Linked DNA regions of Elephas maximus indicus. The protein of the gene in region 2 purifies or fractionates together with the protein of the main gene of each other region. This does not show direct contact. Links are inferred from orthologs where the notes say so. Each region holds a gene or a part of one and is shown on either strand. Other genes may lie near its edges.

Region 1 (10,696 bases), on a different chromosome or scaffold from region 2:
GTTTTCTTTGTATCATATGGGTCTTTTACGTCTCTGGTTAGATTTATTCCTAAGTATTTTATCTTCTTGGGGACTATTTTAAATGGTATTGATCTGGTGATTTCCTCTTTGATAGTCTCTTTGTTGGTGTGGAGGAATCTAACTGATATTTGTAGGTTTATCTTGTATCCTAATACTTTGCTGAACTCTTCTATCAGATTCAGTAGTTTTCTTGTGAATTCTTTGGGGTTTTCTGTATATAAGATCATATCATCTGCAAACAGGGATACTTCTACTTCATCCTTATCAATTTGGATACCCTTTATTTCTTTTTCTTGCCTAAGTGCTCTGGCTAGGACCTCCAGCACAGTATTGAATAAGAGTGGTGATAAAGGGAATCCTCGTTTGGTTCCTGATCTCAAAGGGAATGCTTTTTTTTTTTTTGGCTGTTGTGTTGGCTTTCTATCAATGCCCTTTATTATGTTGAGGGATTTCCTTTCTATTCCTATTTTGCTGAGATTTTTCATGGTGAATAGGTGTTGGATTTTGTCAAATGCCTTTTCTCCATCAATTGATAAGATCATGTGGTTCTTGTCTTTTGTTTTATTTACGTGATGGATTACATTGATTGTTTTTCTAATGTTGAACCATCCCTGCATACCTAGTATGAATCCCACTTGGTCATGGTGAATTATTTTTTTGATATTTTGTTAAATTCTATTGGCTAGAATTTTATTGAGGATTTTTGTGTCTATGTTCATGTGGGATATTGGTCTGTAATTTTTTTTTTTTCTTTGTGGTGTCTTTACCTGGTTTTGGGGTCAGCGTTATGCTGGCTTCATAGAATGAGTTTGGGAGTATTCCATCTTTTTTTAATGCTCTGAAATACCTCTAGTAGTAGTGGTGTTAACTCTTTTCTGAAAGTTTGGTAGAATTTTCCAGTGAAGCTGTCAGGGCCAGGGCTTCTTTTTTGTTGGGAGTTTTTTTAATTACCTCTTCAATATCTTCTATTGTTTTAGGTTTATTTAATTGTTCTACCTCTGTTTGTGTTAGTTTAGATAGGTAGTGTGTTTCTAGAAATTTGTCCATTTCCGCTAGGTTTTCAAATTTGTTGGAGTACAATTTTTCATGGTATTCTGTTATGATTCTTTTAATTTCACTTGGGTCTGTTGTGATATCACCCATCTCATTTCTTACTTGGGTTATTGCTTCCTCTCCTATTTTTCTTTTTTCAGTTTGGCCAATGATTTATTGATTTTGTCGATCTTTTCAAAGAACAAGCTTTTGGTCTTGTTAATGTTTTCAATTTTTTTTTTTTTTAATTCTCTATTTCATTTAATTCAGGTCTAATTTTTATTATTTGCTTTCTTCCGATACCTGAGGGTTTCTTTTGTTGCTCTCTTTCTATTTGTTCAAGTTGTAGGGTTAATGTTTTAACTTTGGCCTTTTCTTCTTTTGGGATGTGTGCGTTTATTGCTATATATTGACCTCTGAGCACTGCTTTTGTTGTGTTATAAAGGTTCTGGTAGGATGTATTTTCATTCTCATTTGATTCTGTGAATTTCTGTATTCCAATCTTAGTTTCTTCCATAATCCAGGAGTTTTTGAGCAAGGTTTTGTTCAGTTTTCAGGTATTTAATTTTTTTCCCTTGCTTTTTCTGTTACTGATTTCTACTTTTACGGCTTTATGGTCAGAAAAGATGCTTTGTAATATTTCAATGTTTTGGATTCTGTTAAGTCTTGCTTTGTGGCCTAATATGTGGTTTATTCTGGAGAATGTTTCATGTGTGCTGGAAAATATCCTTGGCTGCTGTTGTGTAGAGTGTTCTGTATATGCCTATGAGATCAAATTTGTTGATTATGGCGCATAGATCTTCCGTATCTTTATTGAGCTTCTTTCTGGATGCTCTGTCCTTCACTGAAAAGTGGTGTGTTGACATCTCCTGTTTTTATTGTGGAGCTTTTTCTCTTCTTGGAAACCCCGGTGGCATAGTGATTAAGTGCTATGGCTTCAGTTCGAATCCACCAGGCGCTCCTTGGAAACTCTATGGGGCAGTTCTACTCTGTCCTATAGGGTCACTATGAGTCAGAATCGACTCGATGGCACTTGGTTTCTGGGTTTATTTCTCTTCTCAGTGCTGTTAGAGTTTCTTTCATGTGTTTTGGAACCCTGTTATTGGGTGTGTAAATATTTATTATGGTTATGTCCTCCTGGCGTATTGACCCTTTTATCATTATGTAGTGTCCTTCCTTATCCTTTATGGTGGATTTTGTTTTAAAGCCTATTTTGTCAGAGATTAATATTGCCACTCCTGCTCTTTTTTGATTGTTGTTTGCTTGATATATTTTTTCCCCACCTTTGAGTTTTAGTTTGTTTGTGTCTTTGGGTCTAAGATGTGTCTCTTGTAGACAGCATATAGATGGATCGTGTTTTTTAATCCATTCTGCCACTCTCTGTCTCTTTATTGGTGCATTTAGTCCACTTACATTCAGTGTAATTATTGATAGGTATGAGTTTAGTGCTGTCATTCTAATATTGTTTTTGTGTGTGTGTTGTTGACAGTTTCTTTGTTCCACTTAATTTTCTGTGCTGAATCATTTTTCTTAATGTTTCTTAATGTATACCCCTTTCATCTTTTTCATTGTAGTTAATTTTGCATTTGGTTTTGGTTTTATGTTTTTCTTGTTTTTTATTTTGGATGTGTAGGATTGTTAGTTTCCTTTGTGTTTACCTTAATATTTACCCCTATTTTTGTATGTTTAAATCAATTTTTTATTTCTTGATATTGCCTTGACTTCCTCTCCATATAAAAATTCTATGCCTATATTATTTAATCCCTCTTTTTTGTTTTAATGTTGTCATCTTTTACATACTGACATCTCTGTTTCCCTATTTTCAAAGTTTTAGCTTTGATTTATTTTTGTGACTTCCCTGCCTGGGTTGATATCTGCCTGTTTGAGCCCGTGTTCTAGACTTGGGTTGTAATCCGATTTTATTGATTTTATAACTGGAGGGCTCCCTTTAGTATTTCTTGTAATTTTGGTTGGTTTTTAACAAATTCTCTAAACTTCTGTTTATCAGGAAATGACCTAACTTTGCCATCATATTTAAGAGACTGTTTTGCTGGATACATAATTCTTGGCTGGCAATTTTTTTTCTTCAAGGCTTTATATATGTCATTCCATTGCCTTCTTGCCTGCATGCTTTCTGCTAAATAGTCAGAGATTAGTCTTATTGAGTCTCCTTTGTAGGTGACTTTTCATTTTCTCTAGCTGTTCTTAAAATTCTCTCTTTATCTTTGATTTTGGCAAGTTTGATTATAATATGTCTTGATGACATTCTTTTGGGATCTACCCTATGTGGGTTCGATGAGCTTCTGTTGACTATTTTTTTACTTAAATAAATTGAGTATAAAACTTATTTCCATTACTTTGAACAGAAAATTCCTATCACTTGTCATAAAACAGAAGGCAACCATAAATAGAAATATTAGAAATAGAAAAACAAATAGAATTTCTGGTCTACCAAAGGGGCCAAGCTAAGGACCTTCCTTCTATCTTTATTAAAAAGGGATATTAATAACACAGCCAACACTTACTGAAAACTTACTAAGTGCCAAGCATCTTTCAAGTCCTTTATGTAGTAACTCATTTAGTCTTCCCAACATCTCCATGAGATGTTGTTGTTGTTAGTTGCTGTCAAGTTGGTTTCAACTGAAGATGACCCTATCTACAACATAATGAAACATTGCCTGGTCCTGTGCCATCATGTTTGTGGGTACATTTTAAGTTCATCATTGCAGCCATTGTATCAATCCATCTCGTCGAGGGTTTCTCTCATTTTTGTTGACTATTTTACTGAACATGATGTCTTATTTTTCTAGTGATTGGTCTTTCCTGATGATATGTCCAAAGTAAGGGAGTCAAAGTCTTGCCATCCTCACTTCTAAGGAACATTTCGATTCTATTTCCTCTAAGACTGACCTGTTGTCAATTTGTCCTAATGTGGTGGCTTGGGTGTTGCTGTGACACTGGAAGCTATGCCACCAGCATTTCAAACACCAGCAGAGTCACCCATGGTAGAGAGGTTTCATTGGAGCCTCCAGACTAAGACAGACTAGGAAGAAAGGCCTGATGATCTACTAAAACAACTCTACGAGATACTCTACAAGATAGGTACTGTTTATTATTATTTCCATTTTACAGATGAGGATATTGAGCCACAAGAGATATGGTATCTTGCTCAAGTTCATAAAGCCAATAAATGGCATGAGCAGGATTGAAAGAAAACCGAAAAGGCAATGAATTTCTCATTATATGAGTCAATATTATTATATGTCCTGTTCTCATTACTCCTAAAATAATCTCTCCTGTCACCCACACTTCAGGAGTGTCTAGCATGCTATAGGATGCTCTTTATAATTTTTATAACTTGACTCTTTTCTATCTTTCTAGCCTCATCCTCTGCCACAGGAACCTGTCATCCTCTTGCCATTGCCTGAGGCCACTATTTACTGTATTTTCATTCTGTCTGCCTGGAATGTCCTTCTTCCCTTGCCCTGTTAATTCTAATCATACTCAGTTCAAATGATGAATCACAAAGCAGTCCCCAGCCACCCCAGTTGTAATTAATTGCTCCTTCACCTTTTTTTTTTTTCACCTTAAGTCCAGACAAGTTGGTTTGTTCTTTTGTTGTGGACCTTTATTCTTTCTTGTCATCTCTAGAGCAGAAGCCTTGCTCATTTGTCCCTGTATCTGCCATTCCTTAGCATAGTGTCTTACACAGAGTAAGTGCTCAGTAAACAGTCAGTAGTTACTTTAAATTTATACTTGGAGAGTTTCTTCCCACATCTCCATCAGTATAGAGAGTAAATGGGGGTAGGATGGGGTTAAGAGGATGGAGAAGGGAAAGCCCCTGTGAGTCTAGGCCTGGGAAAAGTAGAAAACCCAGGAGAGAAAGAGGCACCACACTGCTACCTTTTCAGCTGCAGAGGAAGAGAAGACTGGCTACATCTAACATCTAACAGTAGCAATCTTTTTCATGAGAACTAATTATTTTATTCCTTTTAATAACCCTTCTCATCAGTAAATTCTCAAAAAAAAATTTTTAAAACAAATGCATTCGTTAACAAACTACAGAGTAGGAATGCATGTTCCTATGAGAAAATTCCAAAATTCCTCCCTGTTCTTAGACCAGAAAGAGTTCCTAGCTCCAAATATAAAACTTTTATTCTCTAAATCTGTTAGAAAGCTATACAGGGCAAATAGAGGGAGGTGAGGCCTATCAATCAAGAGAAGCAGCAGTTCTGCTTCCCTGAATGTTTAGGTACACACTTTGTATGCTCTTTATTTATCCCACATGATAGAACACCAAGTAAACACCCTTAATGCATACTCAGGAGTCCCTGCGTGGTGTTAACTATGCGTGGCTGCTAACTGAAAGGTTGGAGGTTTGAGTCCACCCAAAGGCACCTGGAGATCCACTCCCAAAAAACCAGCGACTGAAAACCCTATGGAGCAGCTCTACTCTGACGCACATGGGGTTGTCATGAGTCAGCAAAGACTCTATGGCACTGGTTTAATGAATAGTCAGCACACCATTGAGGACTTGAGTTTCTGTGTATAACGACTCTATTACCTTATTTACCTTTTCTGGGAGAGAATGAAGCCCACCTCCGGGGGGGAAACAAGCCTTAAGAGGTCAGGGCCTCTAGCAGCCAGTCTTTTCCTATGTCTGATCAACCCAAACTGGTGGGTTCACGGGCTCAGGGGCTCCTTTTTCCATTTGAGGAGGCAGTAATGCAAACAAAGAATTAAAGGTTATGATGAAGGGACTTGCGGGGGTGTACAGACCTATAGCTCGCTCTGTACTGTCACCCGCACCCTACTCCCTGTGAAATGCACTTTGATTTCAAATACACCAGGCCTGGTGATGTGGCAACTGCCCCGTCCCAGGTTTGGGACCACTCTCCGACCTATTCAGAGATGTCCTGTCACTCCCTCCGCGCTACAATTCACTCCCTTCCTTCACACCTTAAAGCACCGGATCTTGGATCCTTAAAGCTCTCTAGCCTCTGCCCGTCCATGGGTCAGAATGAACTCTGCTGCAACCAACCACCACCACCACCCTGTACTTAATTTACAATTTTCCGAAAACTTCTCTTCCCTCTGGACCAGACGCCCCGGCTCGCTCCCTCGCCCCGGCTCGCTCCCTCGCCCCGGCTCGCTCCCTCGCCCCGGCTCGCTCCCTCGCCCCGGCTCGCTCCCTCGCCCCGGCTCGCTCCCTCGCCCCGGCTCGCTCCCTCGCCCCGGCTCGCTCCCTCGCCCCGGCTCGCTCCCTCCCTCGGTCACGTGGCTCGGCGTGCCAATGCCCGCGAGCCCCGACGTCTGGGGCGCGGCGGGGCGGCAGGGGCGCGGCAGGCCCGGAGAGGGGCGGGGCGGCGGGCAGGGCGCGCCGGCGGGGGCGGTGCCGAGGGCGGAGGGCGGCCCGCGCTCTCAGGCCGGCGGAGGACCCGTGAGCCACCATGGAGCGCCCGCGCCCGCGCCCGCGGGTGCAGCTGCATCAGCAAGAGCCACTGAGGAAGAGCTGGGCTGAGGCGGGGGCCTCCGGGTAGCGGACCCAGCGGCCCTGTAACCCTCCTCTCCCCATCCCCGGACCCCCGGACTCCCTCCTCGTGGCCGGCTCCGGGGGCGTGGGCACCGCGACTCCGCCGGACGATGCGCCCGCCGGGCCGCCCCGGAGGCTGAGCCCGCAGCCCTGCGACCCTGTCCTCCTCCTCTGGACCACCCCTCCATGGCCTTCCCGGGCGCCGCGGGGGCGGCCGACAGGCCCGCGTCCCCGGCGCTGGGGGCTCCCGCGGCCGCCGGCTCCTCGTCGTCGTCCTCAGCCTCCTCCAGCGGCTCGTGCTCCGCGGCGGGCGCCGGGCGCCTGTGGGCCGCGCTCTACGACTACGAGGCGAGCGGCGAGGACGAGCTGAGCCTGCGGCGCGGCCAGCTGGTGGAGGTGCTGTCCCAGGACGCCGCCGTGTCGGGCGACGAGGGCTGGTGGGCCGGCCAGGTGCAGCGGCGCCTCGGCATCTTCCCCGCCAACTACGTGGCGCCCTGCCGCCCGGGCGCCTGCCCGCCGCCGCCGCCTCCCGCCCCGCCGCCGCCACCGCGGCCCGGCTCGCCGGTGCACATCGAGTTCGAGCGGCTGGAGCTGAAGGAGCTGATCGGCGCCGGCGGTTTCGGGCAGGTGTTCCGGGCCACCTGGCAGGGACAGGAGGTGGCGGTGAAGGCGGCGCGGCGCGACCCGGAGCAGGACGCGGCGGCGGCGGCCGAGAGCGTGCGGCGCGAGGCGAAGCTCTTCTCCATGCTGCAGCACCCCAACATCATCCAGCTGCGCGGCGTCTGCCTGCGGCAGCCCAACCTCTGTCTGGTGCTCGAGTTCGCCCGCGGCGGAGCGCTCAACCGCGCCTTGGCTGCCGCCGCAGACTCGCGCGCCCCCGGCCCGCGCCGCGCGCGTCGCATCCCCCCGCACGTCCTGGTCAACTGGGCGGTGCAGATCGCGCGGGGCATGCTCTACCTGCACGAGGAGGCCATAGTGCCCATACTGCACCGGGACCTCAAGTCCAGCAACAGTAAGTGGGAAACAGTGGCGGGCAGTCCTGGGGGTGAGGAGAGAAGTTGGGGAGGGCACTGCTAGCTCCAACCCAGTGCCCTGGAACAGCGCCGGGCAGGCAGCCCACCCCATGCATCCCAGGGTGGACCCTCCGGAATAGGGCGCCAGGTGGAAAGGGGCGGGGACCAGCTCTCACTGGGCCTGGAGCAGCCTTCCGGGGTTCAAAGTTCCAGCTAGACCTTGGCGACTTGCTTTGAGGCCGATAACACACTTAGTTTGACTTGTTGCTTTTGGGCGCTTTTTGAAAAATGTGGATCAGATTTGCATGTAGACGAAGCAGTTGAAACCTGTATCTCCTGAAAACCTTACGGGGAGATTTGGCCTTTAGGTACAATAGGTGGTTCATTTGGGTAGGACTTTGTAGACAGGCCTTCCTGAATTCCTTCCTTGAGGAACCCATGGCCCCCTTTCCTGCGTAATGGCTTTCACCCAATTTCCTCTTTCCTTCAGATTTACAAGTGCTGTATCGAGGTTGCCATTCTCCCACTTGAATATGGCTTTGTGTTCTTGAACTTCTATAGATTTTTCATTCAGACATCTCTGCAAATGAAGTGTGATTTTATTATTGGTTCCGTGGCTTGAGTGTTGGTGAACAGCCTGTAGTCAAGAAACACCAGCTTGTGTTATACGCTTGTGGGTTTATTGAGAGCGAGTGTATTGTCCTGGCACAGACACTTGACATCCTCAAGACCTGGCCTGTATCATTTAGTGTGTTTATAAATAAGGTTGAATTTTCCAGATGTCCGTGAATAACTGACATGACTTAAATACAAATCGTATTAAATTTTCACTGTACAAAAGAGCTAATAGAATTGCTGTTTGAAGTTAGTTCTTTAATATGGAAGCTCACTCCATGTGATAGTCTTAGAATAAAGTGAAATCCCATGACAGATTGAATGTTGCAGCCAGAACTGGTCGTGGCCTACTACAGCAGGATGGCTTTTAACCTTGTAAAACCTGCTAGGACAGGTGCTAATGCAAACTGAAACAGTGTCCTTCCTCCCTAAGTCGACTAGAGGCAGCTTCAGGGACAAGAATAAATGATGTATTTGTCATATGTTTTGTGAATTTTTTTTTCTTTTCAAAAATCCTTCAGTCCTGGAAAGTTTTTGAACACGAATAATGTAGTATCTTTATTTGGAAATTATAAATAATTTGGGTATTGATAGGTACTTATAGGAGCCCGGTGGCGCAGCTGTTAAGAGCTGAGCTGCTAACCAAAAGGTTGGCAGTTCGAATCCACCAACTGCTCCTTGGAAACCCTGTGGGGCAGTTCTGCTCTGTCCTTATAGGGTCGCTATGCGTTGGAATCAACTGGATGGCAACCGGTTTGGGTTTTAGGTACTTATAAGCATTTAATACTTTTAGGTTTTATTTTATGACAGTTCCCCTCCCCCCAAGTCTCTTATTATTTAAAATTGCAACTGCTGAAGTGACAGGAGCAAAATCTAACAAAATACTGTATAGAAAAGTGGTAGTGGTAGTGGTGTGTTCTTGGAGCTTCTGACAGGGGCCAGATAAATGACTCTAGAATTAAAGTAGCACAGTTTTCAATGTACTTTTTTTTTTGGTGAATGCTTCAAACCTGACACAGTCTGCCTTGCTAATTTGTACTGATTCCCTAAAAATACCTTTACTGAAAGAAATGTTTAACCTGCTGCCATAGGTGGTGCAGTGGTCTAAGCATTTGGCTGCCAGCCAAAAGATCGATAGTTTGAATCCACCAGCCGCTTCTTAGAAACCCTACGGAGCAGATTTGTTCTGTCCTGTAGGGTCGCTTTGAGTTAGAATCGACTCAATGACAATGGGTTCAGTTTGGTTTGGTTTATAGAATAGTGGCGTTCCATAAGCCTGGGTGTCCTGTCGGCCCTCTCCCCTGAAATGCTCACAAGCCTGTGTCTGCTGGGAGTTTTCTGAAGAACCAGGCATTCTAGGGACAGCAGTACCATCATTCCCTCATCTGTCCCTTGGCCCTTGCAGCAGGTCTGGGATAACGTGGCACCAGGTATTCCACAAACTTACTCCGTTGCAGAACATCACATCAGCGACACAGGTAAACAGTTCAGGTTAGATGGATCAGTAGACCCAAAAAAGGTAAAGGACCTATAAACTTTTTTTTTTGCATTTTGCGGTTTTGTTTGGTTGTAATATTACTTCACGTCTATAGGATGGGTGGGTGAAGTGGAGCATGCTTGCTACTAGGGCAGGCATGGGAGGGGAGGTTAACCCGTGTCCTTGTTGTTGCAAGTAGTAAACTTTTTAATATAAAATAAAAACTTTTAAGGAACTCCTAAAACTGTGAAATAGTAAGAACAAATAATCTGACCCTGGAGTAATAAAAAAAATACCTACGGTTAAATAGTTTTTATTGACACCAGAAAAACTTGGAGCACCACGTATATGGTAGATATTATGCAATTTGAAGGTAATTATATGTTGTAACTTAGTTTTTGAAAGACCTTTTCTCTCTGAGAATAAACTGACAGATTTCATGGAGCATTGTAATCTCTGTAGTTGTCAGGTAAGGCTCCCTTTGCTTTAAATTGTTGACCTTTTAAGAAGTGCCTAGCCAGATATTTGTTAACTGTGATCCTCATTGTAGCTATTGCTATAAAATTACTATAAAATGAAAATTTTGCATAGGGCCTAAAATGGGCAAATCACAGTGCCTAGCACCTTTTTTTTTTTCTGTTTTTATTTGTTAATGAATGCAGGTACTGTGGAATTCTGTTATGATACGAAGCTATAACTTCTTGTTCAGACTTTGAGTAGAGCAGACAGTCTATCACAGTGTGATTTGTTTGATTTTATTGGTTATTTGTTCAGACTTTGAGTAGAGCAGACAGTCTATTACAGTGTGGTTTGTTTGACTTTATTGGTTATTTGCTACTGATGGTGGTGAGTTGATAATGTAAACAAGGTTGTAAAAATCAATATTGGATTTTATTTTGATTTTGTAGCTAGCCTACTATGTAACGAAGAGCCAGCATGAGACTACTTGGATCCAAGTCAGTAGAAATCGCTGTTTAAAACAAATGTTTAAATTCGTCAGAAGAA
Region 2 (10,173 bases):
GTCAGGAGTTCCCTGCCGGGAGAGAAGACCCAGTGGATAAAAGAAGGTTACCTCCTAATCTCTGCATGTCCTGTCGTTAATCTAGGAGCAAAGCTGACTTTTTTTTTAGGTGGGGTGACATATGTGAACACATGGGTCAAAACCTGTGACTGAACTTCATTATTTGGCCACCCTTATTGGTCACCACGACTTCATTCTCATTTCTCTCAAATTATTTTTGCTGTGTCCACAAGTTGATTCTGACCCGTAGTGACCCTCTAGGACAGAGAACTGCCCCATAGGGTTTCCTAGGCTGTAATCTTTGTGGGAGCAAAATTCCAGGTCTTTTCCCCTTGGAGCTGCTGCTGGATTCGAACCACTGACCTTTTGGTTAGAAGCTGAGCTCTGCACCATTGCTCCACCAGAGCCACTTTCTCCCAAATTATGCTGTACGGTCGCTACGAGTCGTAATCAACTGGACGGCAACTGGTTTGGTTTTGGGTTTTGAGTCAGAATCAACTCTACAGCAACGTCTTTTTTGGTATCTCTTCACTGCTATGCTTTTCAAGAGAGCTCTACACTTAACTGCTTTCATTTCCTCACCTTCTTTGGGTCTGAACCAAATGTAGTCTAGCTTCCAACACCCTTTCAAAACTGCTCTTGAAGGTCAATAATGACCTAATTGCTATATTTAATGGCTTTTCCTCAGTGCCAGTCTTACTTAATGTCTCTGCAGAATTTAATACTACTCACCACACCCTTGGAAACCCTGGTGGGTAGTGGTTAAGTGCTATGGCTGCTAACCAAAACGTTGGCAGTTCGAATCCACCAGGCGCTCCTTGGAAACTCTATGGGGCAGTTCTACTCTGTCTTATAGAGGCCATATGATTCAGAATTGACTCGATGGCAACAGGTTTGGTTTGGACCACCTCATTATTTTTGAAACTCTTCTCACTTGTTTTATGACACTAATGTCTCCTGATTCTCACTCAAACTTGAGCCACAGAAACATTAATAATACATAGTTAACATTCATTGAGTATCAGGCATCTTCCAGGTAACCGCCCACTTGATTCTCATTTGTATGAGGAAAATATCATTCCCATTTTATAGGTAAGAAAACTGAGGCTTAAAGAAGGTGAGTGACTTGCCTCCATTGCACACGCAATAAGTAGCCCTTGAACCCAAGGAATCCAAGAGCAGAGGCCATAGTCTTAATTGCTAGGACGTGTTCTACAGAGCTGGAAAAGGTCAGCAGATCCAGTTCCTTCACTTTACACATGAATTCGAAGCTCATAGAGGTGAAGTGACTTGCTGAAGGTCATACATTTATTCAGTCCTAGAATTTTTTTCTTTTTTTTAGAATTAGTACTTCCCCTCGTGTCTGTCAGTTTGTCGTACTGTGGGGGCTTGTGTGTTGCTGTGATGCTGGAAGCTATGCCGCCAGTATTCAGATACCAGCAGGGTCACCCATGGAGGACAGGTTTCAGCTGAGTTTCCAGACTAAGACGGGCTAGGAAGAAGGACCCGGCAGTCTACTTCTGAAAAGCATTAGCCAGTGAAAACCTCAGGAATAGCAGTGGAACACTGTCTGATATAGTGCAGGAAGATGAGCCCCCCAGGTTGTAAGGCACTCAAAAGATGAGTGGGGAAGAGCTGCCTCCTCAAAGTAGAGTCAACCTTAATGACGTGGATGGAGTAAAGCTTTCAGGACTTTCATTTGCTGATGTGGCACAACTCAAAATGAGAAGAAACAGCTGCAAACATCCATTAATAATCAGGACCTAAAATGTACGAAGTATGAATCTAGGAAAATTGGAAATAGTCAAAAATGAAATGGAACGCATGAACATCGATATCCTAGGCATAGAGAGATGAAATGGACTGGTATTGGCCATTTTGAATTGGACAATCATACAGTCTACTATGCTGGGAATGAAAACTCGAAGAGGAATGGTGTTGCATTCATCGTCAAAAAGAACGTTTCAAGATCTACCCTAAAGTACAACGCTGTCAGTGATAGGATAATATCCATATGCCTACAAGGAGGACCAGTTAATACGACTATTATTCAAATTTACCCACCAACCAGTAGGGCCAAAATGAAGAAATAGAAGATTTTTATCAGCTGCTGCAGTCTGAAATTGATCGAACATGCAATTAAGATGCATTGATAATTACTGGCGATTGCAATGGGAAAGTTGGAAACAAAGAAGGATCAGTAGTTGGAAAATATGGCCTTGGTGATAGAAACAATGCCGGAGATCGAATGATAGAATTTTGCAAGACCAACAACTTCATTGCAAATACCTTCTTTCACCAACATAAACAGCGACTATACACATGGACCTAGCCAGATGGAACACACAGAAATCAAATTGACTACATATGTGGAAAGAGACGATGGAAAAGTTCAATATCATCAGTCAGAACAAGGCCAGGGGCCAACTGGGGAACAGACCATTAATTGCTCATATGCAAGTTCAAGCTGAAACTGAAGAAAATCAGAGCAAGTCCACAAGAACCAAAATATGACCTTGAGTATATCCCACCTGAATTTAGAAACCATCTCAAGAATAGATTTGACGCACTGAACACTAGTGACCGAAGACCAGACGAGTTGTGGAATGACATCAAGGACATCATCCATGAAGAAAGCAAGAGGTCACTGAAAAGACAGGAAAGAAAGAAAAGACCAAGATGGATGTCAGAGGAGACTCTGAAACTTGCTCTTGAGTGTCAAGCAACTAAAGCAAAAGGAAGAATTGATGAAGTAAAAGACCTGAACAGAAGATTTCAAAGGGCCTCTCAAGAAGACAAAGTGAAGTAGTATAACGACATTTGCAAAGAGCTGGAGAAGGAAAACCAAAAGGGAAGAACATGCTTGGCGTTTCTCAAGCTGAAAGAACTGAAGAAAAAATTCAAGCCTCGAGTTGCAATAGTGGATTCCATGGGGAAAATATTAAACGACGCAGGAAGCATCAAAAGAAGATGGAAGGAATACACAGAGTCATTAGACCAAAAAGAATTAGTCGATACTCAACCATTTCAAGAGGTGGCATATGATCAGGAACCGATGGTACTGAAGGAAGATGTCCAAGCTGCTCTGAAGGCACTGGCAAAAAACAAGGCTCCAGGAATTGATGGAATATCAATTGAGATGTTTCAACAAACAGATGCAGCGCTGGAGGTGCTCACTCGTCTATGCCAAGAAATATGGAAGGCAGCTTCCTGGCCAACTGACTGGAAGAGATCCATATTTATGCCTATTCCCAAGAAAGGTGATCCAACCGGATGTGGAAATCATAGAACAATATCATTAATATCACACACAAGCAAAATTTTGCTGAAGATCATTCAAAAACGGCTGCAGCAGTATATTGACAGGGAACTGCCAGAAATTTCAGGCCTGTTTCAGAAGAGGACGTGGAACTAGAGATATCACGGCTGATGTCAAATGGATCCTGGCTGAAAGCAGAGAATACCAGAAGGATGTTTACCTGTGTTTTATTGACTATGCAAAGGCATTCAACTGTGTGGATCATAACAAACTATGGATAACACTGCGAAGAATGGGAATTCCAGAACACTTAATTGTGCTCATCAGGAACCTCTACATAGATCGAGGCAGTTGTTCTGACAGAACAAGGGGATACTGATTGGTTTAAAGTCAGGAAAGCTGTGTGTCAGAGTTGTATTCTTTCACCATACCTATTCAATCTGTATGCTGAGCAAATTATCCGAGAGGCTGGACTATATGAAGAAGAATGGGGCATCAAGATTGGAGGAAGACTCATTAACAACCTGTGTTATGCAGATGACACAACCTTGCTTGCTGAAAGTGAAGAGGACTTGATGCACTTACTAATGAAAATCAAAGACCACAGCCTTCAGTTTGGATTACACCTCAACATAAGGAAAACAAAAATCCTCACAACTGGACCAATGAGCAACATCATGATAAACGGAGAAAAGATTGAAGTTGTCAAGGATTTCATTTTACTTGGATCCACAATCAACAGCCACAGAAGCAGCAGTCAAGAAATCAAAAGACGCATTGCATTGGGTAAATTTCCTGCAAAGGACCTCTTCAAAGTGTTGAAGAGCAAAGATGTCACCCTGAAGACTAAGGTATGCCTGACCCAAGCCATGGTATTTTCAATCACATCATATGCATGTGAAAGCTGGACAATGAATAAGGAAGACCGAAGAAGAGTTGACGCCTTTGAATTGTGGTGTTGGGGAAGAATATTGAATATACCATGGACTGCCAAAAGAACAAACAAACCTGTCTTGGAAGAAGTGCGGCCAGAATGCTCCTTAGAGGCAAGGATGGCGAGACTGCATCTTACATACTTGGACATGTTGTCAGAAGGGATCAGTCCCTGGAGAAGGACATCATGCTTGGCAGAGTACAGGGTCAGCAGAAAAGAGGAAGACCCTCAACGAGGTGGATTGACAGGGTGGCTGCAGCAATGAGCTCAAGCATAACAAAGATTGTAAGAATGGCGCAGGACCGGGCAGTGTTTCGTTCTGTTGTGCATAGGGTAGCTATGAGTAGGAACGGACTCCAGGGCACCTAGTAACAACAACACAATTAGTACTAGAACCCAAGTCTTTTGAGCCTCAGTCTTTTATCATTGGAATTTGATAAATTAGGGTAAGAGTGTGAAGTGACATAATTTGGAATGCATAGGGAGCCACCCAGTCTCCTTCGCTGGCTCCTCTCTGCTTTCACTTACCTTAATGTAGGAATTCTCCAATGTTTTGTGTTTGGTCCTTTTCTAGCTCTATATGCACTCTCTAGGCACTTCCAAGCAGCGTGAGAATTGGAAGCCCTTCCGCCTATTGCCAACCAAACCAAACCCATTGCCGTCAAGTTGATTCTATCACATTTTCTCCCACAGAGCGGCTGGTGGATTCAAACTGCCTATCTTCCTGTTACCAGTCAAGTTCTGAACTACTGTGCCACCAGGGATCCTATGGCCAAACACAGCAGGGCCCAACTCTTTACACTGGGATTAAAGGAATCTCAAAAGCTCTGGGACGGAGCAATGTAGGAGTGGCAATGTAGGACAGGGCATATTTATTTCGGTGACAAAGGCCTGCAATGATCAAAACCATTATGGCCTCTCGTTTTCTTTGCCCGTAGTCCAGGCCTCGACTTGCTCGTGTCCCTCGGCTCCCTCGAGGTGCGGTCCAGGCCCATTTCGCCTCCCGACCCCCGCCTCCCTACATCCCCGCGGACCGTCCTCCCTCCCAGCAGTCAGCGTTCCCGCCTCTGCGCTCCAGCGCCTGCTGAGCCGACAGAGGTGTGCCGTCTCGAGGGTTCCAGCCTCTTCTGGCGGTGATCTCCAGGACCCGCCCCCCCGCGCCAGTTGCCAGGGAGCGGTTACCATAGAGCTGAGCAGTTGTCCGCGTGCGCAGGCGGAAGTCCCGGATTGAGGCGCCGCCATTTTTGCTGCCCGGACGCGGAGCGAGAGGCTGAGAGAGTCGGAGACGCTATCCGCTTCCATCCGTCGCGCAGACCCTGCTTGAGCCACCGCCGCTATGGATGATCGGGAGGATCTGGTGTACCAGGCGAAGCTGGCTGAGCAGGCTGAGCGATACGACGGTGAGTTGGTGGGGCAGCGGAGGGCTGGAATTCTCGGACCCTCTGCCGCCGCCCACTGAGGCCGGGAGGAGACAAAATGGCGGCATCGTCTCCGCGCCTGGCCCGGGGACGTGGATTCGGGAAGCAGGAAATGGCCTATGGGCTCCTGGAGCGATGGAAGGCTCCAGGCCCAGGAATTTGACCCCTTCGGCGTCCTCAGTTGTAGCCACTCGCGGACCGGGAGGCCGAGGCGATAGGGTGGAGGAGTTGATTGTAAAATGGCGGCTGGGGGAGGGCGAGTCTCGGGGCGGGGGAGGGGGAGGAGATCTCGGGTGCTGTCTCCGGACGTGCAGTCCCCAGGGGAGCTTTTGGGACAGTCTTGGGATGTGGAGAACAATTGGTTGGGGTGATGGGGGAAGAAACGCCCGCCACATGGGGGAGAGTGGAGACTGGGAGCTGTAGCGCTGGCGCCTTTGAGGGAAATATGGCGGGTGGGGGCGGTGGCTTTTCCCCGGAGGCCCAGTGTGGGGCGGCGGCTGTGGAGTCTCACAAAGGAGAACCTTTGCGAGTGGAGGGCTTCCTTGGGCTTGTGGTGGGGGGTGTAGTCCTGGATGAGAGTGAGAGTAGGGGGAGATGGGAATCACTGCAGTTCATCTTTGGGCGGAGACAAGCTGAGATGCTGCGATCGGATTTCTTCCCGTCGGCTGGCACACCTTGGAGGAGGGTTTTTTGGGCTTTACGATCTGCCTCGCCTTCTTGTTCTGGGGAGGTCCAGAAAAATCTCACTCATACTCTCTTTTTTCAGGCTTATCCCTCAGAGCTCGAAGTTTCCTGGTATCATTTGGCTCCAGAAACACTGGGTTTTAGTGGATAGGACATTAAACAGGAGGCGAGGAGATCATGACTGTCAGTTTTAGGTTTTGTAATGCCTGTGCCTCGATTTACCAGTTTGTAAAAATGATGGCTTCCCCGTTCTCACGAACGCACCGTTATGACAAATGGAAGGATCTTCTGTTGAACGAAATTATCTAAAATGATGTGTAGTAGCCGTATTTTGGTCGAGTCCCCAAGCTTGGAATGCGTGTTTTACTTTATTGGAAATCTTAACCTGATTCAGGCGCAGAACTGAGGCTTGAGTCTTTGAATTAGGCGATTCCAGGAGAGTCTGTATTTTCTTTTTTGCATATGAATTAAATGGTTTTATGCACAGTTTTGAACAGTTCCTCTTCTGTTTATTGCTTCTTTGTCCTGAAAGGTTCTTTAGTAATTTTTCAGAACTTTATCGAATGGCCGTTGTGTCTGTTCAGTTAGTCCCAGGCAGTTTCCTTTTCAACATAACTCCTCTTCCCACCCCTCCCCTTCACATACACCCACATATCACACATTGGACCTAGGTACTTGTTACCCGTACATCCATTAAATTGCACTGTATTAAAAACCAGCATTACGTGGTCTTACACAAATAGGTTATTTCTAATGTTTTTTTTTCGCGGGGGGGCGTGTGGCGGGGTGAGACGTGGTTGGAGTCAAATGCCTTGACCCATCTCGTAATTACTTAAGCTACTGATTTTTCGAAATTTTCTTCTCAAGTACTTAAGCCAGTTATTTTTTAAAATGTAAGGTAGGGCCCTTGGTTTCTTGAATAGCGTCAGGGCTAGTCCCCCTGTGTCATTAGAAATTAGAAATCAGGGATTTAAAAATTAGAGGGAGAAGGCCTCCAGAAGTCAAATTTAGGAAAGACACTGCACTGAATTTTTTCTTGTAAATCTTTAAGTTGTTATTGGTATTGAACGAGGTTCCTTTTGGAAGGGGGAGGGGTAATAAAACGGGAGAAGTACAGCTCAAGGTCAGTTTGTCTTTATTTCGGTGTTTAAAATTCAAACAAATGTAGGTGTACTTGTAACGGAGTTGTTTTTTCCCGCCTTGTGCCCCAGATCGGTTTCACCCTTAATCTACCAGTGCCCTTGCGAGGAAACTTAACATTATATTTGAATACTTTCGGTTGTATAGAGATTTAGGCTGTGAGTAAACTTGATGTGATAACAAAAAGAATGTGGAGGTTTTTTTTTTTTTTTTTGAAACGGATTGGGAAACTCATGATTGTAGTTTCCAAACAAATCATAGTTTAATGATAATTGTATTTTGGAGTTGAGTGCTGAGGATTTAAAAGCAAGATCTTTATTGGTTATTCAACATAGAATGCTTTTGATAGAGCCACATTATTACGTTGTTCAAATGTTAGATTTCCCTTTCAGAATCTAAAGGGGAGGGACATAGGACCTACAATGTGGAGAAGAACTATAGAGAACTCTGACAATTGGGAGCTTAAGAATCAGTGGAAAGGAAGAGGAGGAGGAAGGTGCAACAGGAGTAAGCCTGTCTTTACCTGTATCCACAGATGCATGTTGTTGTTGTTGGTTGTAGAGTTGGTTCTGACACATGATGGACCTCATGTGTGCAGAGTAGAATGATCCATAGGGTTTTCAAGTCTGTGACTTTTGAGAAGCAGAATGCTGGGCCTGTCTTCAAAGGAGCCTCTGGGTGGGTTTGAACTGCCAACCTTCAGCTAATAGTGCTTAAGTGTTTCTGCCACCCAGGGACTCTAGAGAGTCATAAAACCAAAACCAAACCCGCTGCCGTCGAGTTGATTTCGACTCATAGCAATCCTATAGTACAGAGTAGTACTGCTCCATAGGGTTTCCAAGGAGTGCCTGGTGGATTTGAACTGCTGACCTTTTGGTTAGCAGCTCTTAACCACTATCCCACCAGGCTTTCCCTTTAGAGGCTAAAAAACCAAAAACCAAACCCAGTGCCATCGAGTCGATTCCGACTCATAGCGACCCTATAGGACAGAGTAGAACTGCCCCATAGTTTCCAAGGAGCGCCTGGCGGATTCGAACTGTTGACCCTTTGGTTAGCAGCCGTAGCACTTAACCCCACTACACCACCAGGGTTTCCTGTAGCGCCATAGGTTTCCTTTATTGAGTGCAGTGAATTCAGTTTTGTGTCTGGTAACAAAAAATGATCCCATAGTCCTGGTCACCAAACAAAGTTTACTACCAGGTGTGGGGAGTAGGAAAAGATGAGGATGCATTTGAGTGATTTGTTTTCTGGGTACTTGGATATAAATGTTGGTTTCCCAATAGTCCGTGCTTTTCTCCTCGTTTCTGTATTTTGCATGCTGTGTTGAGTTTAATGCCTAAACTCCTTTTTAGCCTTACTTACCTATCCTGGGAGATTGGAATCAATTTATATATATATATATATTTTTTTTTTTAACGATACTAGAGGAGGAGCTAAGCTTTGTACAGGAAAAGGACAATTTCGGGTTGCGGTTAGAAAATATTGAAGTTTGGGGCCAATAAGATTGTTCACCTTGGAGATCAAATCCCCCATCCCGTCACTTTAACAAGTCAGTAGCTTAAGGAATAAACTACTGGTGCAATGCTGGACTGGTAGGCTAAAGGCTTGGTAGCCTGCTTCCATTAGGATTACAGCCAAGAAAAAGAAATAGAGCAGTTCTACTCTATAACACATGGGGTCACCATGAATCAGAATCCACTTGATGGCAACAGTCTTAAGGAATAGGTTTTTATCTTAGTAGTAGTAATGTTAAGCAAGTTGATCCATCTCTCAGCATTCCTGAACCAAGTCTTACCTTTTGTGTATATGAACCATGTTAAAGAAAAGTGGAGAATATTAGAAAGGAAAAAAGAATGAGTACTTTTCCCATTTTGGGGAGTAGAGGGGTCAGCATAAATTACTTTTGGGCTTGTGGGGTACTTGATGGTTTTGTTCCTTCCTTTTCTCCACTCCCTGTGAAAATTGGCTCCATGGGAAGTAGGGGTAAAGTTTTGATGATCACTTTTGGTTCACTTGGATGCATGAATGTGTCAGTTCCAGGAATGCATCTGTTCTGAGACTGTTCAGTAAAAGCTGTCATTTTCAAACATCAGAGCCCCACTTCCAGCTTATTCTGATTGAATGGTGGGGGCATGTTTTGAATTAACTCCTTAATACATATCTTGTTGGGAAAAAGTGAGTAATAGTAGATTAACTTTAATAATGAGTTTAAAAATATTAAGAATAAACACCAAATCTTTGTTAATTCTTATGTTGCTATTTCAGCTAGTAGACTAGCTTTGTTGAACAAATTTTATTTTTCTCCTGCTTAACTAAGTACACAGAATTGGGTAATGACATTTTAAAAAGAGCTTTAAAAAATCAAGTTTTAGCCTAGGTATTAAATTAGATGTTCTTCTGTGTGCACGTCAGACTTGTACACAGTATTGTGTACATTGAACATGTTTCATTCTGGTTTGTGTTATAAAATTATGGAATAAAATGAAATAACTGCAATTGGGGGTATTGGGTAAATTCTTACTACTGTGAGCATTCTTTGGCACCTTTTTCACCTGTGACAAAGGTCTCAGTTTGAACTCTGCTATGGGGAAGAGTACTTATGACAGGTATTAAGCTGAGCAAATTTTGGGTTTAGTAAATACAAGCAAGCACATTGAAAGTCTGTACAAACAAGCTGGCTTTTCATAATTGTTTTGTAGCTTGGTCAAGGGCTTATAAAATACCTTTAAATGTCCTGG

What was found.
Region 1: the proteins of YWHAE (region 2) and MAP3K21 purify together in Homo sapiens (affinity purification with mass spectrometry; 3 studies listed by BioGRID and IntAct, with this or other methods). This does not show direct contact. The link is inferred for Elephas maximus indicus from reciprocal best matches to the Homo sapiens genes YWHAE and MAP3K21.

The regions. Positions count from the first base shown.
Region 1 is NC_064842.1:31,130,126-31,140,821, reverse strand, and holds the start of MAP3K21 (mitogen-activated protein kinase kinase kinase 21), read left to right. Parts: upstream 1-6,444; 5' UTR 6,445-6,772; coding exon 6,773-7,598; intron 7,599-10,696. UniProt on the Homo sapiens protein: Negative regulator of TLR4 signaling. Does not activate JNK1/MAPK8 pathway, p38/MAPK14, nor ERK2/MAPK1 pathways.
Region 2 is NC_064837.1:20,284,823-20,294,995, forward strand, and holds the start of YWHAE (14-3-3 protein epsilon), read left to right. Parts: upstream 1-5,410; 5' UTR 5,411-5,529; coding exon 5,530-5,593; intron 5,594-10,173. UniProt on the Homo sapiens protein: Adapter protein implicated in the regulation of a large spectrum of both general and specialized signaling pathways. Binds to a large number of partners, usually by recognition of a phosphoserine or phosphothreonine motif.